Linked DNA regions of Diceros bicornis minor. The protein of the gene in region 1 interacts with the protein of each later gene in a pairwise test. Links are inferred from orthologs where the notes say so. Each region holds a gene or a part of one and is shown on either strand. Other genes may lie near its edges.

The links.
Region 2: the proteins of HOMER3 (region 1) and PKN1 interact in binary tests that used the Homo sapiens proteins (3 or more experiments, as listed by UniProt). The two-hybrid records come from large-scale screens. The link is inferred for Diceros bicornis minor from reciprocal best matches to the Homo sapiens genes HOMER3 and PKN1.
Region 3: the proteins of HOMER3 (region 1) and EAF1 interact in binary tests that used the Homo sapiens proteins (3 or more experiments, as listed by UniProt). The two-hybrid records come from large-scale screens. The link is inferred for Diceros bicornis minor from reciprocal best matches to the Homo sapiens genes HOMER3 and EAF1.

Annotation. Positions count from the first base shown.
Region 1 is NC_080759.1:6,480,438-6,488,253, reverse strand, and holds the start of HOMER3 (homer protein homolog 3), read left to right. Parts: upstream 1-4,800; 5' UTR 4,801-4,941; intron 4,942-6,496; 5' UTR 6,497-6,564; coding exon 6,565-6,578; intron 6,579-6,658; coding exon 6,659-6,815; intron 6,816-7,062; coding exon 7,063-7,194; intron 7,195-7,816. UniProt on the Homo sapiens protein: Postsynaptic density scaffolding protein. Binds and cross-links cytoplasmic regions of GRM1, GRM5, ITPR1, DNM3, RYR1, RYR2, SHANK1 and SHANK3.
Region 2 is NC_080769.1:3,430,173-3,437,208, reverse strand, and holds the start of PKN1 (serine/threonine-protein kinase N1), read left to right. Parts: upstream 1-4,024; 5' UTR 4,025-4,039; coding exon 4,040-4,255; intron 4,256-5,238; exon of another isoform or gene 5,239-5,344; coding exon of another isoform or gene 5,345-5,365; intron 5,366-5,833; exon of another isoform or gene 5,834-6,338; coding exon of another isoform or gene 6,339-6,395; intron 6,396-7,036. UniProt on the Homo sapiens protein: PKC-related serine/threonine-protein kinase involved in various processes such as regulation of the intermediate filaments of the actin cytoskeleton, cell migration, tumor cell invasion and transcription regulation.
Region 3 is NC_080741.1:21,906,354-21,913,888, reverse strand, and holds the start of EAF1 (ELL-associated factor 1), read right to left. Parts: upstream 3,013-7,535; 5' UTR 3,008-3,012; coding exon 2,638-3,007; intron 745-2,637; coding exon 650-744; intron 1-649. Other genes in the region: tRNA N(3)-methylcytidine methyltransferase METTL6, read left to right, coding at 4,038-4,262, 5,271-5,405. UniProt on the Homo sapiens protein: Acts as a transcriptional transactivator of ELL and ELL2 elongation activities.

The DNA of each region.
Region 1 (7,816 bases):
CCGAGGGAGGAGACTGCAGCATCTGAGTCAGCCGGTTCCTGCAGGAACATTCGGCACCCAGCGGCCCTGTGTGGGCCGCCAGCAAGCAGGAACACGGCCCCCGGAGCCCCTCCGTGCCGCCTTCCCTGAGGCCTCCCGCTCTCTGTTCCCACAGCTGTTCCGTCAAGGCCCCAGAAGGAGAGTAGGAGGAGAGGGCAGGTGAAGGGGAGGCCATGTAGGCTGCTGGGCCAGAATCTGGGAGTTTGGGCAGAGGGGAGCATCCTGGGCAGAGGGTCCAGTGTGTCCTGGGGCTGTCCAAGCCTCAGGCCTCTACCCGAGATGGGGAAACTGAGGTTCAGAGAAAGGGAGAGTCTATCCCCATTCTGCACATGTACAGACATCTAGTTCTCTCCCAAGAGCTGAAACCCTGGCCTGGAGCCTGAAGTGTAAAGCTGATCACTTCCCTCTCTCTCTGGCTCCAAACTCTCCCATAGCTCCCCAGCACCTAGAGAGGTGAATCCTAACTCAGAACAAAGCCTACACACCTCACCACTGCCCATGAGGTCCAACCTGGCTCCTGTGACTCCCTTAGCCCTCAGTGCCCCCTACTCTCTTCCCACTCACTCTGCTCTGGCTATCCTGGCCTCCCTGCTGTTCCTCCAAAACACCCAGCCCATCCTTGCCTCAGGGCCTTTGCACATGCTGTGCCCTCTGCCCAGAGCACTCTTTGTAAGTTATTATCTTCATTTGATCCCTCAGGAAAGGTGCAAAAAGAGAAGGTCACGTGTCCAGGAACATGCATCAAGTTGGTGGGAGTGAGGTTTGCACCCTGGCCCTCTCCCACCAATGGTGCCACGTTTAAAACAGGCCTCCAGACCAGTCCACCGTGGAGCTAGATGATTCTCAGCCCCTCCAGGTCTTGCTGCCTCCAGGTGGGTGCCAAAGACCCTCAGGCCTCGGGCTCAAGTCTCCCTGCTCAGGGAGCTCCTGGGCCAACCCGACTGACCCCCAAGTCTCCCAGCGTCCCTCCTGATGTGGCCGCAATTCTTTTGCCCCACTTTCTGCCCTTCACGCAGGCAGATGGCAGAGCCCTCAAGGACGACATAGCCAAAAATAATCGGGCTCCGACCTACCTCCCCAAAGTGGGCCAGCCCCGCCCAGCCACCTGGCACGGTGCAGGTAATTAGTGCATGTGGCAAATGAGGGTAATTAGGTCTGTGGGAACCGAACCGCAGATCCAGGTCCGGAGTTTGGAGGGGGCTCGAGGATGGCCTCCCCCACCCCCAACCCGCCCTGGTCCTGGGAGCTCAAGTCCATAACCCAGAGCCAAACCCTCCCCTAGCCCCTTCATGCCTGGGCCTGAGGGGCCTGGCTCTGTCACTTCCTGGGAGCTGTTTGTTTAATGAATTAAACCTGGCCTTGGGTTGGATCTAAATTTAAGGTGGGGTCCCTGTCAAATGATAAAAACTCACCAGTATTGAGTCATCGAACTCTCCTCTGCCATGACCCCAATGTGTCCATCCAATGCTGGGAGATGCCAAGCCCGAGGGAAGCCAGGCTTCCTCAGTGCCTGCACACTTCCAGGTGCCCTCAGGCTGGGGGTCAGAGCTGAACACAGACGCCACCAGGCCTTTGGGGTCAGGGTTTGGCCAGAAGGAAGGAGGGTGTTGGGAAGAGTCCAGAGGGAGAGGAGGGAGGGCTTTTTGGAGAAGAGGGCATTGGAGGTAGGGCTTTGAGGGATAAATAGGAGTTTTCCAAGAGGACAAGGTCTGGTGGCTGGCCCAACTGACGATGCTGGGGGAAGGGGGAGAAAGAGGAGGAAGATGGCTGGAGGGGCACAAGCGCCTCAGAGCTAAAGATTTAGAGGATATCATGCCAGGTTGGACCCATTTCTGTCCTCAAGAGTTCATGCCTGGCTGGGACCCTTCAACTCCTAAAAGAGAAAATCTTAAGAACTCGGCCCAGGATCAATACCACATGCTGGACAGCCAAGAATAAATACAATGTTTATAATGGCAAGCATTTATTAAGCTCCTAGAGTCACGCCTCTTCACGCAAGGACTCCTTGGATCCTTACAGCAAACCTCAGAAGTGGGCACCATTCTTATTCCCATTTTATAGATGGGGAAACTAAGGCACAGAGAGGGAAAGTGGCTTCCTTAAGGTCACACTGCTGGTAAGAGGCAAGGCTAGGATTCACTCCCTGGCTCATGTGACTCTGGACCACCAAAAACCAAGGCTGGGGCCTAGGGCTCCTCGCCTTCTGGAAGCATTTACAGAGTTCCTGCTGTAGGTCAGACTTGCTCTAGGTGCTGAGCCGTGGAAGAGGTGGACAGTAACCAAATCACACACAACAGGTCTAAGCGGCCACTGTGACCTGTGCCACATCGTTGGGCAGGTGGCTTTGGGAAGAGTGACAGACTTACCCTGATTTGGTGGGACAGCAGCTCCCCAGAGAGGACAGACGATTTAGCTTTAGTCCAAAGGTTGGGTCAGATTGAAGTAGGCAGAGGACAGAGCTTGACCCCTAAGAGCCACTCTGCAAGGGCAGCTTCCCTAGAGCAGAGCAAGCTGTTCCAGTCCCTGTTTGGTCCCTCCTGTGACAGGGAGCTCCTTCCCTCATGCCTTCCTCAGCCCCAAGTGAACGCTGTTGCTTCTAGCCAGCCACCCTGTGGTGATGGCCTCTGCCACCCTGCAAGGACATCCCCAGGCAGCAGAGGGCTCAGGCTGCAGGGGGCTGCAGCTCAGGGCAGCCCCCACCCATCGATACCCAGGGGACAGTGAGGAGCTGCTGCTGTTGCCTGGCTCCTCCCTGCCTCCTCCCCCACCCCCAGCCCTGCAAGCATCAGACCATTGTCCGGGCAAGAAAACTGAGATCCACACTGATAAAGCCGTTCCTTCAGTCTGGACTTGACTACGACAACTTCAGGTCAGGGCTGCTCAAGGCTAGCCCTGTCCCAGCCACTCCCAGAGGTCTGAGAGGGGGCCCTACTCTCCCTCATGCTGTTGCCTTCTGCCCACATACGCAGGAAAGTCTGCCCGGGCCCCTGGCCTAGCCACCCCCAGAGAATGGCCACGTGGCCCCAGCTCTGCAGCCGGCCAGCACTCAGCACATCCTGAGTGGCTTCCAGAAGCCTCGACCCTGCCGGCACCTTTCCAGTTACTTTTTTTTTTGGTTATTTTTTTGGTAATAAGGAAAAGTCACTCTTTGCACAGAACAGACGGTATTTTCTTTGTTCCCCACAATGTTCAAGCATTTTGTGGCTTTGGGCCTGAGAGCGAAGCCAAATCCTTTGTCTGTGCAGATGCCTTGTGAACTTAGAAGCAGCTGGGGAAACTGAGTCTGTGCCTCAGTTTCCCCAGCTGGGGTAAGCAGTCCCTCTCGTGCCGGGTGAGGCTGGGGCTCCAGGACGGGTTGGCCCTCCAGGAGTACCCAGAAGTAATAACCAGGTAACACAGACCAGGGATCCCACAGAAAGGGATGGGGTTGTGAGTAGGGGAGGGTGAGATCCCTTCCAAGCCTGGGAGAGTCAGAGAAGCTTCCAGGAGGAGAGGGGGCAGCGGAGCTGAGCCTGGAAGGAAAGGAAGAATACATGCCTGTGGAAAGAGCACTCCATGGGGAGGAGACAGCTTGGGCAAAGGCCTGGAGGGAGCAAAATTCAGACCTTGGCCTGGGAATAAGTCTCCAGAAACACCAGGACCTGGAATTCCCTAACGGGAATATGAAGGCAGCTCCTAGCTCAGATGTGTGGTTCTTGTCAGGAGGAACAGAAATAAAAGAACAGGGAAAGGGGACAGGGGCAGAGCAGATGAAGAGCAAAACCCCTAAGGGTGTTGGAAAGCTCAGACCTGAGGCTCAGAGCTTCAGGGAACTGCGGGCCGGTTCTGAGGAGCCCCGTGCGCTGCCCACCAAGCAGACGACTCTGTGTGGCCCCAGAGGAATCTCCGGAGAAAGGGCAGCCTCGCGACTAAGTGGGCCCCACAGGCAGGCTGGGGCCTGGGGAGGCCGATTCCGGCTCAGCTGCAGAAAGAGCCTCTCCTGGCAAATGTATGAGGGCTGGGCTCCTCCAACCAGAGGTGGAAACCCAGGCCCGCAGACCTCCAGGGGATTCACCCATTCGGTGGGAACTGGACACCCACCTTCCCTCCGCCCTGGATTCTGGGACCCTGGGATACAGCGATAGTCATCGTAATCTAACCATCACTAGCATTGCTACAGTGGTCTCAGGGGAGAGAGAGGCAGACAGAAGCCTGAGCCTGGGGGATCAGGGCTGGGCGGGAGGGCAGGCAAGAAGGATTCTGAGCAGGGCACCCAAGATCAAGCCCCATTAAGTGTCTACTGGTTGCTTCTCTCAGCCTCTTCCCGCCCCCTCTCTGCCCAGGTCTCTCTCATTTCCTGGCAACATGCACTGAGCACCTACTGTGTGCAGGCCCTGCACCCACCAAAGTGGCAGATGTGCCTCTGTCCCTGCACGCCCCTCAGGTGGACAGGGACCTGACTCCCATCAGGGGCAGAAGGCAGCAGTGACCTGGAGTGTCGGGGTCACCCTTGACGAGAGAACGAAGCCACATTCCCCACTGTCCATCTCTGTCTGTCTGTCTGTCGTCTCCTGTGTCTCTGCCCCCACCCCCACCCCATCCTTCTTCCCCACCCTATCCTTCCCCACCCTGAACCCCCTCCCCCGCGCCGCGGAGGGCCGGCAGGGGGCGCTGCGGGGCGGCCTCGGGGCCCGGGGAGGCGGGGCGGGCGGCGGCCGCGTCGGACCCGCCGCGATGGGACCGGAGGCGGCGCGGGCGGCGGCGGCGGCGCAGACAAAGGCGCGGGCGGCGGCGCGGAGGGCGGCGCGGAGGGCGCGGGCCCCGGAGCCAGCGAGCGAGCGGGGCGCCGGGCAGCGGGGAGTCGGCGCCGCGGGGTCGCACCCGACTCGCTCCCGGACACTCGCGAGGCGCCGAGCCGGCAGGGTGAGCCGGGCCCGCCGAGCCTGCGCGGGGGCGCGGGGCCCCCGAAGTTCCCGGGCCGGGGGAGGGCTCCGGGGGTCCCCGAAGTTCCGGACCTGGAGGCTGGGGGCGGCTCGGGGAGCCCCGAAGTTCCAGGGCTTGAGGGGGCGCCGGGGCCCCGAAGTTCCGGAGTCGGGGTCGGGAAGGGACTGTGCGAGGGCTTCCCAAAGTTTCGGACCGGGCGTTGGAGGAGGCTGCGAAGGTGTCTCCTAAGTTCCGAACCGTGGGTGTGGGGGCGGCACGAGGGGACCCCGGAATTCCCCACCTGGAGATGGAAGGGTGGCAGAAGGTCCCCGAACTTTAGGAGTCGGGGGCGGCGCGGAGGGTCCTCGAAGTTCTGGACCTGGAGTTGGAGGAGGCAGATAATGTGCCCCCGAAGTTCTGGACCTGGAGTCGGGGTGCGTCGCGGGGGTCTCAGAAGTTCCGGGGTCAGGAGCCGCGCCTCCCGAAGTTGGGGCGCGCGCGGGGCGCCCCGCTCCTGACGGCGGTGGGGACTCGATCCTGACTGACTGTCAGGCCCCCGGCACTGGGGCGCATGGGGTGGGGCTTCGCCCCCGCACGCGATTGGGGCTCCCCGGCACCGGGCAGGGTCGGGCCCCCTCCGGGAGCCCCGCGGCCGAGGCGCATGACTAGCTGGTGAGTAACTTTCCCCGAACGCCAACGCCGCAGGTCGCGGCAGAAGCGTCGGTGCCGGAAGGGCCTGAGTTCCTGGGACCCCGGCGCCGGGAGCCCTGCCCCAACCCAGGACCCACCCCCAACCCCGCCGAAGCTGCCGCCCCTCCTCCACCTAGGGGCTCGGGTTTCAGACCCTGTGACCGGGACAGCAGCTGCCCAGGACAGGGCTGTGCCGGGGCCTCCCTTCCCCCCCGCTTTGCCTCCCCCTCCCCCAGGTCCCTCCAGGATCTGGATCCCGCCCGGCCCCCCATGGTGTCGGGATTGAGTGGCATGGGAGGTCTGGCGGTAGGCAGCAGGGTGGACCTTTTTGGTTACATCTTGTCTTTTTAACGAAGCTGGAGGCTTCCTGAGCATTGGACCTTGTCTCTAAGGTGTGCCTCTGCCCCAGAGTGGAAGCTCAGGTCTCTCTCTGAGCCCAGTGGGAGACTGGTTTCCCAGTAGGCCCCTGGCTGTGCCCCACTTTTTGATGGTGCCCTGGTTTGGGGAGTGATGGGTGAATGTGGCAGAAAGTACTGCGCGGGAGTTGGCCTTGGCCTCCTCAGCCCAGCTCTGAGACTGAGGGGGCTTCACTGGGGTCCAGTGACTGGGCCGGTGAGAGGTTTACACTGGGATGTCAGGGGCCCCAGCTCGTCTCAGAGAGCCGTCTCCTGCCCAGGGTGTTGTGGGGGCTTCCTCCAGATGGAGAGAGACCGGTTTTTTGGTTCTGAGTGATCTACTGAGTCCTTCACCTTTTTGATTGAAGTTCTGTGAATGGTGCTCCTGGTGGTGGGTCCTGAGGTTGGACCTGCTTGGCCTCCCTCAGCCTGGCCTGTGGGGGACACTCACAGGCCCCCTCTCCCTCCAGAGGTGGAGCCAGCAGCTTCTGCCATCCCCCTGGCTGCCTCTTGGAGCCCGCCCAGCTCAACCTGACCAATGTCCACAGCCAGGTGAGCCCCCATCTCCACCTGCTTGGCCCTGAGCCCCCTGGGCGGCGCCCAGCCCCACTGAGCACCCTCTCCCCGTGCAGGGAGCAGCCCATCTTCAGCACACGGGCGCATGTGTTCCAGATCGACCCGGCCACCAAGCGGAACTGGATCCCAGCGGGCAAGCACGCGCTCACCGTCTCCTACTTCTATGATGCCACCCGCAACGTCTACCGAATCATCAGCATCGGGGGTGCCAAGGTCCCTGCGGGGCCTGGGTGGGGCGGCAGGTGCCAGGGGTCCGAGTGACAGGCCTGGGTCTGGTCGATGCCTTGCTCTGTGCCTGGAGGAGCCCTAACCCTTTCTGGGCCTCTTCCCTTCATCCTGAAATAGTTCAGAGCAAGGACCTCCGCGGTGCTAATACAAAGTGATAGCCGGGTGGTGGTGGGGGTTTCATGTCCATTGTTACCAGTCCCACCAACCTTGAACTCTGCTCCCCCCTTCCCAGGCCATCATCAACAGCACTGTCACCCCCAACATGACCTTTACCAAAACCTCCCAGAAGTTTGGGCAGTGGGCAGACAGTCGTGCCAACACTGTCTACGGCCTGGGCTTTGCTTCTGAGCAACATCTGACCCAGGTGGGTCTTGGGGTTATGCGGGGGGAGGGACAGGGCTGCGCCTGGGTCTTCTCCTGGGTGCCCTGGGGACCCTGGAAAGGTGCTGGGCCTCCGTCTTCCCACCTGCAGAATGGGCGTACAGAATTGGACAAGTCAGAAGCCCCTCCTGGTTCCCTGGTTCGCGTCTCAGCTCTGCTGGCCGCCTGCTCCGATTTTGCAAACACCCTGCCCTCTCTGGGTGCCTGGGATGGGCTGGGCGCTTCCCCACACACCCCAGCACTCCCTTCGTCATCGCCTCCCTCCACCCCGCGTCCTCTCAAGACTTCAGTCTCGTCTTATCCATTGTCTTCCTGTATGGCTAGCGCCCCTGAGTCCTGCTGAGATCGTGATGATTTTCTTCTCTTTTCTTCTAGAAGCTTGTTTTCTTTTCACATTTAGGTCTTGAATTAATTTCTGTGGGTGGTATAAGATAGGAATATTTTTTCCATGTGAGTATTCAGTTGCTCTTGGACTGTTTTTTGAAAAGACCATTTCCCCCCAATGATTTGCACGGGCCTCTGCACAAATCAAGTGGCTGGATGTCTGTACATATTTTCTTTAAAAAATTATTTTCAAAGGAAGGAAATTTATTTTAAAATGAAAA
Region 2 (7,036 bases), on another chromosome or scaffold:
TAGGTAGAGATCTAATAGTTGATGAAACACATTTTGCCCACAAAAAGATACAAGCAATGAACATTCTTTATGCATAAAAGCCCCAAACCAGAAACAACCCAAATGTACATCAACAAGTGAATGGGTAAAGAAACTATGATCCATCCGCACCGTGGAACACCACTAGAAAGGAAAAGCAATAAAAGATTGATGCACACAACATGACAGATGGATCTCAAAAACATCGTGTTCTTTGTGAAGATACTAAAAATCACTGGACTGCACCCTTACAAAAAAGAGTGAGGGGCTGGCCGGGTGGCGTAGCAGTTAAGTTCGAGCTCTCCGCTTTGGCAGCCTGGGGTTCGCAGGTTTGGATCCTGGGCGTGGACATACACACCGCTCATCAAGCCATACTGTGGCGGTGCCCCACATACAAAATAGAGGAAGATGGGCACGGATGTTAGCTTAGGGACAACCTTCCTCAGCAGAAAAAGAAAAAAAAAAAAGAAAAGTGAATTTTATGGTATGTGAATTTCAATAGAAAACAAAACATGTTGAGTGAAAGAATCTGGACATAAAAGAATCATAAAGGGCCGGCCCCGTGGCTTAGCTGTTGAGTGCGCGCGCTCCGCTGCTGGCGGCCCGGGGTCGGGTCCCGGGTGCGCGCCGACGCGCCGCTTCTCTGGCCGTGCTGGGGCCGTGTCCCACGTACAGCGGCTGGAGGGAGGTGCAGCTATGACATGCGGCTATCTGCTGGGGCTTTGGGGGAAAAGATAAATAAAATTATTAAAAAAAAAAAAGAATCATAAAATGATTCCACATGGTATGAAGTTCAAGAACAAACAAAATTAATCTATGATGATAGAATCTGCAGAAGGAGGTTGCAGAGGGCACAACACTTATGCATGGGGGAGTGGACTGGGTGCTGGCTGCAGGGGTGTATACATATATAAAAGTTCATGGAGCACACCCCAAAAGATCTGCGTACTTCACCATGTGTAAGTTACATCTCCATCAAAATAATAATTAAAAATAAAAGACATAACACTTTACAAAGTGGGAGTCACCTGTGTTCACCTCCCCAACCCCATTCCCCTCCCCCACTACAGAAACAACATCCTAAATAAAAATAATGCTACCAAACAATTACTGCTCCCCTATTCTATGCTTTACAAGAATTATTTCATTTAAGCTCCCAGCAACTCTATGAGGTAGGCACCACTACTATCACCCTGTTTTACAGATGAAGAAACTGAGGCACAGGGCAGTGAAGTGACTCGCGCAGGGTATCCCTGTCAGTGTGCCTGGGCATCAGGATGGGAACCCAGGTGGCCTGCCCCCTCAGCTGGGGTGCCAGGCACACTACCAGCCCACTGCTCCAGACCGGTGTGCTAACTAGATACATAGTTTCACTTTCTGTTTTTTAGTAATTGCTCTAAAGTGTATGAAACTGTGACATTTTTTCTACTTGCTGTTTTATCTCCCTTCAACACAATGTTTTGGAGATTAGCCTTGTTGATACATTCAGCTCTTCTGGTGTCAGAGAAATCTACTTCCAGCTCTTTCTCTGGCCCCTACTGGGGGAGACTTGGTTTGCAAAGAGCCTTCCTTATCTTTTGAGAAGCACAATCCTCATTCAGTCCCTCCCCTGCCAAGAATCTGTCAGCAGCTCCACAGTCCTCAGGGTCACGCCTGAACTCCAGGAGGGGCCCGGCCCCTCCAGCCCCACCACCCACAGCCTCTGGAGCCTGCCCCGACTCCAGGCGATCAGCAGTAAGAACGCCAGCAAGTTCCTTCATCCAGCAGCTCTCTATTGAGCACCTTCTTTTTTTCTTTTTTTGGTGAGAAGGATCAGCCCTGAGCTAACATCCATGCTAATCCTCCTCTTTTTGCTGAGGAAGACCGGCTCTGAGCTAACATCTATTGCCAATCTCCTCCTTTTTTCCCCCCAAAGCCCCAGTAGACAGTTGTATGTCCTGGTTGCACATCCTTCTAGTTGCTGTATGTGGGACCCGGCCTCAGCATGGCCAGAGAAGTGGTGGTTGGTGCGCGCCCGGGGTCCGAACCCGGGCCGCCAGCAGCGGAGCGCGCGCACTTAACCGCTGAGCCACGGGCCGGCCCTTGAGCACCTTCTATATGCTAGATCCTGTTCTAGGAGCCGGGGACCCAGCAGTGAACAAGACAGTGATCCCTGCCCTCAGGGAGCTGACATCCTTCTGGTGGAATCAGACAAGAAAGAAAAATAGTAGAGTCAAATTTATTAAAATTTGCAAGAAAGAAAAATCAAACTATGTGAGGGGTAGACTTTGGGAGGGAGGGGTGGGCGCTTGTTTGAGGTGGAGATGCAGTCAAGGAAGACTTCTCTAAGAAGGTGACATCTGAGCAAAGACGGAAATGAAGTAAGGAAGAGAGAATGCCAAGATGAGAAGGAGAAGCCTTGCAAGCAGAGGGAACAGCCCGTGCAAAGGCCTTGAGGTGGGAATGGCATCGGCACATTTGAGGAGCAGCGAGGAGGGCGCGTGGCCCGAGTGGAGTGAGCGAGGGCAGTGGGGTGGGAGAGGAGAGCAGAGGCATCAGGACATGCCGGCTTCTCCCTCACCCACCTGCAGGTCTTTGCTTCTGCTGTTCCTTCTACTAGACACCCTTTTCGTCTTTATCCACTTTGCAAATTCCTAATTTGTCCTTCACAACTCAACCTCAGTGCCAGCCCTTCTGCCTCCTCCACAGGGGCGCGGCTGCCTCCTCAAGGCCTCCATGGGTCTGGGATACCTTTCTCCTGACACCTCAAACTGTGTTCACTCATTCATTCTACAAAGATGGAGCGAGCACAGGCCAGACACTGGGCAATTTCAGAGAGGAGTGACATTTAAAATAAAAAAACAGGGCCATGGGCCAGATACAACACAACATAGGGATTCCCTGGGAAAGTCTCTCAGAGGACATGACATTTAAACAGAGACCTAAATGATCAGAAGAGGCCAACTTTGGAGAGATGTGATGGAGGGGCATTCCAGACCAAGGAATAGCCAGTGCAAAGGCCCTGTGGTTGGAAGTAAGGTGAGAACACTTGAGGAACAGAGGGAAGGCCAGCGTTGCTGGATGGGGAAGAAGGGAGCAGAGGGAAATGCAGCTGGACAGGTGGGCAGAGGCCTGACAGGACCAGCTTGTGAGGGGTGGGAAGTCTTTCCTAAGAGCTCCAGAGAGCCAGGGTCAGGTCTTCCAGCAGGTAGAGGCAGGGGGTGGGCTGTGCTTTAGGGTTTCCAAGGCCCCAGAATGGATTAGAGAGGGGCCAGCGCAGCTGCAGGGAGGTGCTGGGGCAGTTATCATATTTGATTGAAATTGGACAATTGTACAATTAGTCCTTGGCCTCCAAGTTTCAAACTCGACTCTGTTTCCAGTGCCACCAAAGTCCCCAGTGGGCCTCGATAAATATTCACTGAGTAAACGGATGCGGGAAGGTTGGAGTGAGAATTTGGCAGGGTTCCCCAGCTCCATCCGGGGAGGCAGCCTGGAGCCTGGCAGACAGCAGAAGGCCAGTCTCTGGACAAGGTGGCCCAGGCCCTGGGCCACCTGGGAGCCTTCCTCTGCCACATCCTCCCATCCGTAAAATGGGTGGGCTGGAGAATTAGAGGAAGGTACCATGTTCCTCCGGGCAAGGGCCATTAACATCCCGGCTCCATAATTGGGGTGAGGGGCTTCTCTCTGAACCCCAGGAAAAGGCTCAAAAATCGGGAGCGAGAGAATTAGCTCAAAGGGTTATTTAATTCAGTGGATAAATATTCGAGGAACAGCCAGGAGGCTGATGTGGCTGGAGGGAGTGAGCAAGGGCGAGGGGGGAGGTGGGGAGACAGGGCAGGTGAAGGGGACAGATCGTGCAGCGCCTTGTGGGCTGTGGGGAGGACTTGGGCTTTTACTCTGAGGAAGGTGGGAGCCATGGGGCATCTGAGCAGAGGAGGGGCGTGACCTGACTCAGGCGTTCACAGGCGCCCTTGGGCTGTTGTGAGGCAGGCAGACTGCGAGATCGAGGGAGGAGCCGAAAGACCTAGGAGGAGGCGCCTGCATGGGTCCAGGCGAGCGACGGTGGAGAGTGGTCCCGGCGGAGGCCGCGGAAGGCGTGGGAAGAGGGTGGACTCTGCATCGGCATAATTTCTCCTCCCCTTCTTCTCTCTCTTTCTCTGCTAACCGCCCCCCTCCGAAGAGTCGCCCAAAGGAAGAGGGGAAAGAGAGAACGTCGCGCCCTGGTCTCTGGGACGACGCAAAGGGCGCAGGGCCGCAGGTAACCAAGGTGCCTCAGCCCTGCGCGCGCGGCCGGGTCCCTGGAGGGCGCCAGTGCGCAGGCGCCGCCGCCAGGGCGCGCTCCCCGCCCTGCGCCCCGGGACCGCGGTTTGGCTCAGTCCCCGCGTTTCTAAGGGATCGGGGTCGGCCACGAGCCAGCTGCACGCCCCGGAGACCCTGGAGAAGCTCCTCGGAGGCCTCCACCCTCCGCCTCCGCGTGGGCACGAGTCTGCATTTATGGAGCGCCGCCTGCATGCAGCAGCCCCGAAGAAGAGGCTGCTCCCCATCTTACAGCGGGGAGAACTGCGGCTCAGCCACAGGGCCCACCGCGAGTCAGCGACGCAGCTGGGATGCGAACCCCCTTTCATAACGACAATAACGTTAGAAAGGACAGCAGCTGACGTCTCTCGAGCGCTTACCGTGTTCTCAGCACTTGCGTGCAGTCTCATTTACTTTCATCCACACCCGAGGGGTAGGCGGGAAAAGCCTCCCTGTTTCCCAGATGAGGCGCTCGTAGGGTTTGGGGCTCCCCCAAGGCATGGGGCGCCGGCATTTGAACCCCGATCTGCCCAGAGCTTGTCTCCAGGCAGTGGGGAAGCTCCCGTGCCGTGAATGCGTCCTTCCCAGGACGCCTGAACTGGCAAACGCGGGGGGTGAGTCGTTTTTGCTTTTTGAGGGGTCCCGGGAGGCCCCAAAGCCTCCGCCGCTCCCCGCCTTAACGTGGCTCACTCCTCTCTCGGGGTTCCCGCGCGCTCAAACAGGGGACCCCCGCGGACGCAGGAAGAGGCCAGGGCGGGGGGCCCTGCAGGCGGGACCCCGCAGCCCCGGGGGCCGCCGGGAGCCGCGCCCCCTCGCCCCGCCCCCTCCCCGGGCGCCGACCTCGCGGTCACGTGACCGGGCCCGGCGGCCGCTGGGGCCGGAGGGCGCGGCGCGCGGACGCGGCGGCCAGGCCAGGCGGGGCCGGAGCCGAGCAGGCCGGAGCGGGCCGCGCGGGGGCTCGAGCCGCGCCCGCCCTCCCCGCCGCGCGCGGCGCACGCGCGCTCCTGCGCCCTCCCTCCGCGCGGGGACCCCTGGCGGGAGGCGCGAGGACATGGCCAGCGATGCCGTGCAGGTAGGCGCACCTGCGGCCGCCCGCGCCGGGCCCCCCGCCCGCGCGCTGCCGGGACCCCGGGCCCGGGCGGGGTCTCCCGAGCGCCCGGCGCCCCCTCCCTGGGCGGGCACGGCGGGGCCCGCGGGGCCCCCTGCGCGGCAGGTGGAGGTCCGCACGGGGGGGAGCGGGAGGTCCCGCCGCACCCCAAACTCCGCCCCTCCCTGGGAATTAGAGGGGGCGCGCGGAGGCTCGACTTGGGGTGTCTGCGGCTGGCTGTGCGTCCCGTGCCTGTCGCCCCGCCACTCGCCCCCTTCCCCGGCGTCCAGGTCCTGGTTCCCGGCAGGTGCCGCTGCACCTGGGGCAGGTGCCTGGCGCGGGGCCCCGGGAGGGGAGAAGGACGCCGGCCCGTGCCCCTCCCCCGCACAACAGAGCTCCAGCGCCCCCACCTCCGGACTGAGCTTTACGGTGGTCCCGACGCCACCAGATTGGCACCTGTTGGCAGAAGTGCCCGAGTCACCTCATTAGGTCGGGGGACGAGGACCCACACGGCCATCCTCCGGGCTGCCAGGTGGAACCTTGTCCCAGGTGGGGAGTGTCCAGGTCAACAGACTGGGGATTTTCTGCTACCTGGCATCCTACCTGGGCATGGGTGACAGGACTGGGTCACCCCCACGCACACACAAACACACAGAGGCACAGGTGACTGTCACCGACCTGCCGCCCAGCCAGGCTCTCCCTGTGCCATCTCGTGGACATCACAGCCCTGGACTCACCTTCCCCATCTGTGACAAGCAGGGCCAGGGTGACTTCTGACCTTCTGTGGTTCATTGCCCCAGTCTGAGACGTGTCCTGTGCCTGTAGTGCCCCTGATAGTGCCTCACCGTCCCTCCGTCGTGTGGTTGCCATGTAACTGGGTTCTCGTCTCCTTCTGCACCTGCCTCCACCCCCTCTGTGTCTCCCCCGTGACCCCCTGTCCCCCGCCTCAGTCCTGCTGATGGCCTGCCAGCCTTGCCGAGGAGCTGGGCGTATCTGGTGTTGCCGATCACGCAAGGTCAGACCTTGGGGCTGGTGAGGGCCGGGGTCCCTGCGTCTGCCTCGGCCCTGGGGGGTGCTGTGCTGGATTCCCCCGGCACATGCATGCACTTGGTGGGTACGAGACATGACCTGGACCGAGGCTGTGATTCCTGGAGCCGGGCTGGACCCGCACCCTGGCCCCCTTTCCCATCTCTGGCTTGCTCTCTTCTCCCCTCCTGATCATCTTTTTCTCGTGCCTGCTTGGGCCTGCTACCCTGTCCCTCTGTCTGTCCCGACGTGTGCCTATCTGTTCTGTGTCCAGCAAACGGATATCCTGTCCAGATTCCGGAAACGCCCAAAGCATTGAAATCTCCGGACGTGGGGGTCTAGGTCCCTGGCCGCTCTGGGAAGAGGGGGATTCTGGGAGGTGGGCCCTCTGGACCTGGAGTCTCCTGCTTCGTGGTGGGAGAGGAGGAGCAGGGATCCTCCAAGGCTGGGCTAGGCCCCTGATTCATGGGTTCGCCTTGCTGGCCCTCAGGTGACCCCTGCCCTCTGGGCAGGAGTGAGTCACCCAAGAGAAGAGAACACAGGAGGCCGGGCCTCCCTCTCTCCCTCCCTGCTCTGTGTATTTTCAGGCCTCCCCTCAGAGGTGGGGCGGGGGAGCCTGCTCCTGCTCTC
Region 3 (7,535 bases), on another chromosome or scaffold:
CTGCTCCCGCCTGCCTGCCTTCACTCTGGCTTGGCTGCCCCAGATTTCTAAACTGTTGTTGCTATACGTCAACATGGCACCTAGGGCTCTAGGAGCTGCTTGGGGGAAAAGCTACGCACATCTAAAGGAGGGGCTAGGTGTCCTGATAGGAACCTTGGCTACTTTGTAGCAAATGGGGCAAAAGGGAGCTTGCGGAAAATGGCAAAGAATCATTTTTCACTCAAGCACCTGGGAACCATAAATTCCATCTCACCCTATCCCCAAAATTCTTTTTTTCCTTATGTTGGCACTTTGAAATCTAGAAATTTTTAAATAGTGGAAATTCAAATTGCGATAACAGAACACGAGGATTCACTGTGATGCCACATTAAAAACAACAACAACAGGGGCCGGCGCGGTGGCGCAAGTGGTTAAGTGCGGGCACTCCGCTGCGGCGGTCCGGGGTTCGCCGGTTCAGATCCTGGGCGCGCACCGAGGCACCGCTTGTCAAGCCATGCCGTGGCGGCGTCCCATATAAAGTGGAGGAAGAGGGGCACGGATGTTAGCTCAGGGTCAGTCTTCCTCAGAAAAAAAGAGGAGGATTGGCATCAGGTGTTAGCTCAGGGCTGATCTTCCTCACAAAACAACAACAACGAAGGAATAAACTTACAGGGATATGTGGCAGCGTAATTGTCACTTCATCTCCTTTGCCAACCTGAAGCTCTCCTTCACAGGAAGTGTCTATAGATGCTGGTTTAAAGTCATCTGAAGAGAAAGGAATAAAAGCATTTATTTACCAGGTTACTTATACTAAGGGCTTCCTGGGCATACTCACTTTAAGAGTTAAAATTTTTTTATTACTCAGGTAAATGGAAAGTACTAATAATTTAGAATTTATTACAAACTATTGCATTGTGCAGAACTTCACATATGCAAAAGCAGAGAGAAGAGTACAATGAGCCCCTGTGTACCATCACCCAGCTTCAATAATTACCAACTCAGGGACAATCTTATTTCATCTATACCTCCACATACTTTTCCTCCATCCTCACTGGATTCTTTTGAAGGAAAAAAAAAGCTAAAATTTATATACCATTTTATTAAGCAAAGACATTCTCCTCTCCCAAGTGATAGATGAAAATTGATGCCTTATTATCCATAATAAGGTGTTTTATTAGGGTTGTTGTGAGGATCAAAAGAAACTGAGCATATCAAAAGGATTCTGTAATAGTAAAACCCTATATGAAATATGAAAGGCCACAGCATCATATAAGTGACTTCATTTTGCACAGAAGTGTCAAAGTTAGGATTTGCCACAGTCAAGTTCCATAGCTTTAACAAATGCTACGTCCTGCAGATGTCTGGAGCAGACAGTTGAACTGTATCTCCAAGGGTTAAATCCTGCCCATGTTGCTGAATTGCAGTTAAAGTACAACATGAATAGCCATCTTACTCCATTTTAACACACACCTGCCTCAAACTGAAGGCCAGGTGCATATGTGAAGTCTCATTTAAATTCCACATTGCCCTTTACCCTACTAAAACATCAACTTAGTAAACTGCTCAGGAGATGATGCTCTTATCACATTCCCAACATCCTCCCTCTTAAAGAGCTGATCTGCTGTCAGTAAGAAGCAAAGTAATGGCGTGGCAAGTGACCATACAAAGATGGAACTTCATTATCTAACACGCCCTCTTCCAAGGTGTTGAGTCACATCTATTAGCTCCTTTGACTAAAACAAGTCTCACCCAGCATTACAGCTACCAAGACGGGGAAGCAAGAGCTTGTGAATCACAGACGGATGCTCAGTCAGCCAATTCCTAACAGCCAAGTCTTTACCCAGGACAGAGTGGAAGTGCCCTCCCTCAACAGTCTCTAATCATGTAGAAAAAGAAGGTTCAGCGTAATGACTAGCTTGACATTCCTTACGCGTGCTCTCTTCTGCCTCCAAACATAGAGCAAGCTTTAACTTACTCTAGGCTCACAAATTCTAATTTTATTCTTCACACAAGAGACTTGGTCCAGAGGAAAAGTCAGGGTAGTACAGGCGACCTCAAAAGAGGCAGGGAACGCAGACGGAGGAGGACTGCTGGGCGCAGAGAGGATGCCGACTCTGGCTGCAGAGGGGATGCAGCGCAGGGTCAGGGTGGCCAGAACTAAGACGCACGAGGAAGGAAAGCTGAGGCAAATGGCAAGGAGAGAATGGAATAGGAGGAAGTGGATGAGGCTCACGAGCAAACAGGAGTCCTTTACATGTGGAGAACCCTGGTGGGTAATCCGAACGCGGAGAGGATCAGAGAGAGAAGAACTTGAGTCTGATGCGGGGTCACAGGCTTCCGGTAATAAAGAGGGGGAAGGTTGGGCACAAGGAAGGCCTGGGTGGGGGGATGAAGAGAAAGGGGCCAATGACCCTCGGAAAAAGCGTTTGGGACCACGAGGCAGAAGAGGTGTTGGGAGAGACGAAGGGTTTGGTTTGGGAGGAGAAAGCTAGAAAAAAAGGGAGAAAACCGAGGTCCCGGAGGAGCCGGGGTCGGGAGCAGGGAGCCGACGCGGGCAGGGGTCCCTGGGCTCCGACGGGCCGAGGGCAGAGAGGAGGGAGCGAGGCTGGCAGAGGCGGCCGGAGCGGGGGCAGGGAACGGCGGGGCGCGCAGACTTACAGCGGATGGTGTGGAAGGAGGCCCGCGGCCGCTTCTCGAAGCTCTCCCCGAGCAGCAGGCAGTGCTCCTCGCGGTCCAGCAGCGGGTTCGCGGTCCCGTTCATGGCCCCGCACCCGCCTCGCGCCCGCACCGGCGCTCCCCAGGCGCGGCCGCGGCCCGAGCTTCCGGCGCCGGCGTCCGGCAGGACGGTGCTCCCGGGACACCGCTCCGGAGCGTAAGGGGAGCCGAGCCGGCGCCCACCCGGGGCCGGAAGCCAGCCGGTCCCTCCGCGTCGGGGTGGGAGAAGACTCTGAGGAAGCGAGGCGGCGGTACTTCCGGCGCCGGGGAGGGACTTCTGGGTTCGTAGCGGAAGTGGCGGGGGCGGTGCCATGACAACAGAATCCAGCCCGAGACTCTCAGGTCGAGGGTCTCAAGGCTGGCTGTCCCGGGTCGGGGGTTTCCCGCGGCGGCCCCCCCGGCTCGGCGTCCGAGGCCGGGGCGGGCTGAGGCTGAGTGCGCCCGGCCCTGCCCTCTGGGTGAAGCTGGGAACTGATGACGGTGAGCCCGGAGCGCGGCGGAGCAGACCAGCGCGGGGCCGAGAGCCGGGACGGCCGGCTCTCCGCAGGCCCCGGCGGCCCGGGCGGCCCAGTCTATCCCCAGTGTCCTAAGACGGTGGATTCTTGGGACTCTACGCCCGCGTCGCTGGGTCTCTTTCTCCCCTTCGCGCCGTGCCGGCGCTGCGAGGGCTCAGTCCCTGGAAAGCGACGCCCCGTCTGGTTCGCGCGAGCCCCCTGTGGGTGCGATCAGGGGCTCCGACCCCCGGGGCTCCGCTCCATCTTCCCAGGAAAAAAGGAGTCTCCCAGCCTTGGGAAACGATGACCCACTTGTGTTTGGCAGGCGACCACCCGCCTCCGGTTCAGGCAGCTGTTGTGGTTGTTAAGCCACCCCTTTCACGAAAATTGATGAGTCTTTTCTCCCCAAGATTTCTCAGTCAACTCTTGGGAGTGTCCTTTTTCTAAACGAAACCGATTTCTTCTAATAGTTGACTCAAGCTGGCTTGAATTAGAGTTTGGTCCCTGATTGTTCTGGCCGCTGCATGTAAACCCTCTGAAAGCAGGGACCGTGTCTGGGCCCTCTTTGTGACCTCTCCTTGTATAGCGGGCAGAGTTTGGTGTAGAGTCAGCATGTAGTGAGTGTTGGGCGAGTTGAACTGTTTGGTGAAAGAACTGGTCTAGAACCACTAACCAGAATCTCGTTCTTTTTCCTGGAAGGACGTGATGCTGCCTGAGGCGTGAACGCAACCTGGGGAACCGAATTCGAGAAAACCCTGCTTGTGTCTGCAGTATCAACTTGGACTCCTCCGGTTGTTCAGGGATGGAGAATCTTCAGCAGCGTTGACTGTATTACTGTCAACGTATGAGATGGCTTCTTCGCAAAAGAAAGGGCTGCAGGCAAGGATCCTCAGTTCTGAAGAAGAGGAGAAACTGAAAAGAGACCAAGCTTTAGTGTCTGATTTTAAACAACAAAAACTGGAAAAAGAGGCTCAGAAGAACTGGGACCTTTTTTACAAAAGAAATAGTACTAATTTCTTCAAAGATAGACACTGGACCACCAGAGAGTTTGAGGAGCTCAGATCATGTAGAGAGGTAAGCCAATATTACGTCTTATTTGCTGTTCTTCATTTAAAATGTGTGTTAGAGAGGTGCTTTATTGCTTTCCTATGGGGAGTGTAAAGTAGAGAATTTATGAAGCCTGTCGAAATGCTTTGTACCTTAGAGAGAAATATACTGTGTGGTCTCAAGTATTGTTAGCGGTTCCTGGGTTGTTAATACATCGGAGACAGAACTTTAGTGGGCATTTTCCATTTCTTTAAAATCTAATCTGAGCCAGCCCTGACAGCATAGTGGTTCAAGTTCGATGCACTCTTTGGCGCCCCAGGTTCCGTTCTCTGGAGCGCAGACCTAACACCACCCATCTGTCAGTAGCCATGCTGACAGATGGATTACTAGAATAGAACTAGAAGGATTTACAACTAGAATATACAACTATGTACTGGGGCTTTGGGGAGGGGAAAACAAAAAAAAAGAGGAAGATTGGCAACAGATGTTAGTTCAGGGCGAATCTTTCCCAGCAAAAAACAAAACTTCTCAAAATCTAATCTGCAAGCTGTAAATAGTAATTCATACTGAGTGACTTCAGTGACAGATTCAGATTCATAACAATAAGATGATGAGGAACACTTTACCATGGCCCTTTTCTAGAACTTTACATGTGTTCTGTAATTTAAGCCTTATAATAGCACTGAAGTAGGCATTGGTATTATCCCCACTTGAGAGGAAATTGAGGCGCAAAGCTGTTTAAGTGATTTGTCCAGCGTTAGGGGTGGTGCGTGGGGAGGAGTTGGGATTTGAGTGAAGGCAGTTTTGCCCCAGAGCCAGTGCTGTTAGCTGTTATGCTGTTTTCTCCATACCACACTGCTGAATGTTGGACAATAGATGAAGTATCAGTATTAACTTTTGGTTGTTAGTTCAGTTGTTTGTTCTCCGCTCCCTGAGGGCAGAGACCTTGTCTCTCATGTTCTTAACCTTTTAGTTTGGTTTGTTTCTTCCTTAGGCAAATGTAGTATACTGAAACTTTGGATTCTCTTTCCTCAGTTTGAAGATCAAAAATTGACTATGCTTGAAGCTGGCTGTGGGGTTGGGAACTGTTTATTCCCACTTTTGGAAGAAGATCCGAATATCTTTGCCTATGCCTGTGATTTTTCTCCAAGAGCAGTTGAATATGTTAAGGTGGGTGCACCATCCATGTTTTCTGTTATGTTTCTATTTTCTTGGATTTGTTTGACCTGCCCTCTTTACCCATTTGCCCAGTTCCAGTCCTCTCCCTGAAGCTAACCAGCTATGATCACCATGAATATAGTTTTCCTGTTTACATACGTATAGTACATATAGAAATACAGCTTTATTCAGGAAAGTGGAAAGAAATACCATAACAACACCCATACACTTATACCCAGATTTAATGATTGCCAGCATTTTGCCACATTTGTTCTACAGACTTGTTTCTTTGCTGAACTATTTTAAATTACAGATGTCAAGATGCTTCACTCCTAAATATGTCTGCATACATCTTCAAAAAAATAAGAACTTTTTCTACATCACCACAATACACTTATCATATCTAACCAAAGTAACTCTAATCCCCTGATGTCATTAATATCCAGTCCAGATTCAGATTTCCCAAAGTAGTCCCAGGTGTCTTTTATAGCTGTATTTAATCAAGGACTACATCTTACACTTCATTGTGTACCTTAAATCTCCTCAGCCTAAAACATTCCTTCCCTACCCCTTGATCTTTCCCCCACTGACTTTGAGTTTTTGGAGAGCAAGCCATCTTCTATAATGAGGTCCCACATTCCAATTTGGTCTGATTGTTTCTTTGTATCATTGTTTAACTTGTTCCTCTATCCTCTGTACTTCCTGAAAAGTAGAAGTTAGATTTAAATCAGTTGAAATATTTTTGGCAAAAATACTTTAATAAATGATGTTGTGTCTTCCATATTACATTCTGTCAGGAGGCAATAATGTCTGGTGATCTTACTGTAAGTGGTGCTAATTTTGATCACTGGGTTAAGGTAATAACTACCTAATTCCTTCCTTGTACAAATATTTCCCTTTTGCCATTAGCAAATATGTGGGGGACACTTTGGCAACGTGCAAATATTTAGTTTTCTATCAACTTTTTGCAGTTTTAACATCCATTAGACTTTTTTTTTTAGTAGTAGTGTCACATTGTACTATAACTTTCTTCACTCTGTATTATATCTCACAGAGTTTTTCCATCTTAGCACATGTAGGTCTACCACATTTTATTTACCTGCTGTGGTGCACCATATAATGGATATACCATACTTTAACAATTACCCTGTTGATACTTGTGTAAATCATTGCTAATTTTTTGCTCTTACAATTAGGGTTAGTGTAATTAGCATCATACACATGCTCCCCAAAACATATGTATACACTTCTGTATGGCGAATAATAGAAGAAGTAGAATTCTTTGGAGAAAGAGCATACACATTTAAATTTTAATAGATAGTCAAGTTTCCTTCCAGAAAGTTATACCAATTTGTAATTTCATCAATTATGTAAAGATACCTCTTTTTCTATGCCCTCAACGTTTTGATACCAGTCTTTTTTATATCTCTCAAACCTATGGACAAAAAATAATGTCTCCATATTTTAATTTGTTTATTCCTTATAACCAGTGATGTTGAAGACTGTAATATGTAAATAAGCATTGGTTTTTCTTCCGCTTGTGAGTTCCTTTATTCCACGTATATTTATCAAGAGCCTAATATGTGCCAGTCACTGTTCTGAGCCCTGGGGTTAAGTAGTGAATAAAACAGACAAAAACTCCCACTCATGTGGAACTTATATTATAGTAGGAATTGTCTGTTCATAACTGTTGTCCATTTTTCTGTCATTTTTTTTCTAATTTTTAGGATATATTCTGCATATTCTGTTATATTTGTTGCAAATGTTTCTTCCAGTTTATTCAGCGTTGTTTTATGGTATTGTTGTATGACAGGATTTGATTATGTCACATTTGTCTATCTATTCCTTTTGAGATGCTGAGGCTTTATGTCTTGTTTAGAAGTTCAATAGTCACCTATTTTTTTTTTTTTATAATTTGGTTATTTTTTTTAATTAATCTGGAAAAGTTTTCGTCATTATTTCTTCAAATATTTCTTCAGCTCTTGTTCTCCTTTCTCCTTCTGGGATTCCAATTATGTGTATGTTATACCATTTGCTATTGTCCCACAGCTCTTGGATGCTGGGTTTTGGTTTCTGTTTTTTAACTTTTTTTTCTCCTTGCATGTTCAGTTTGTATAATTTCTGTTGTCCTACCGTCAAGTT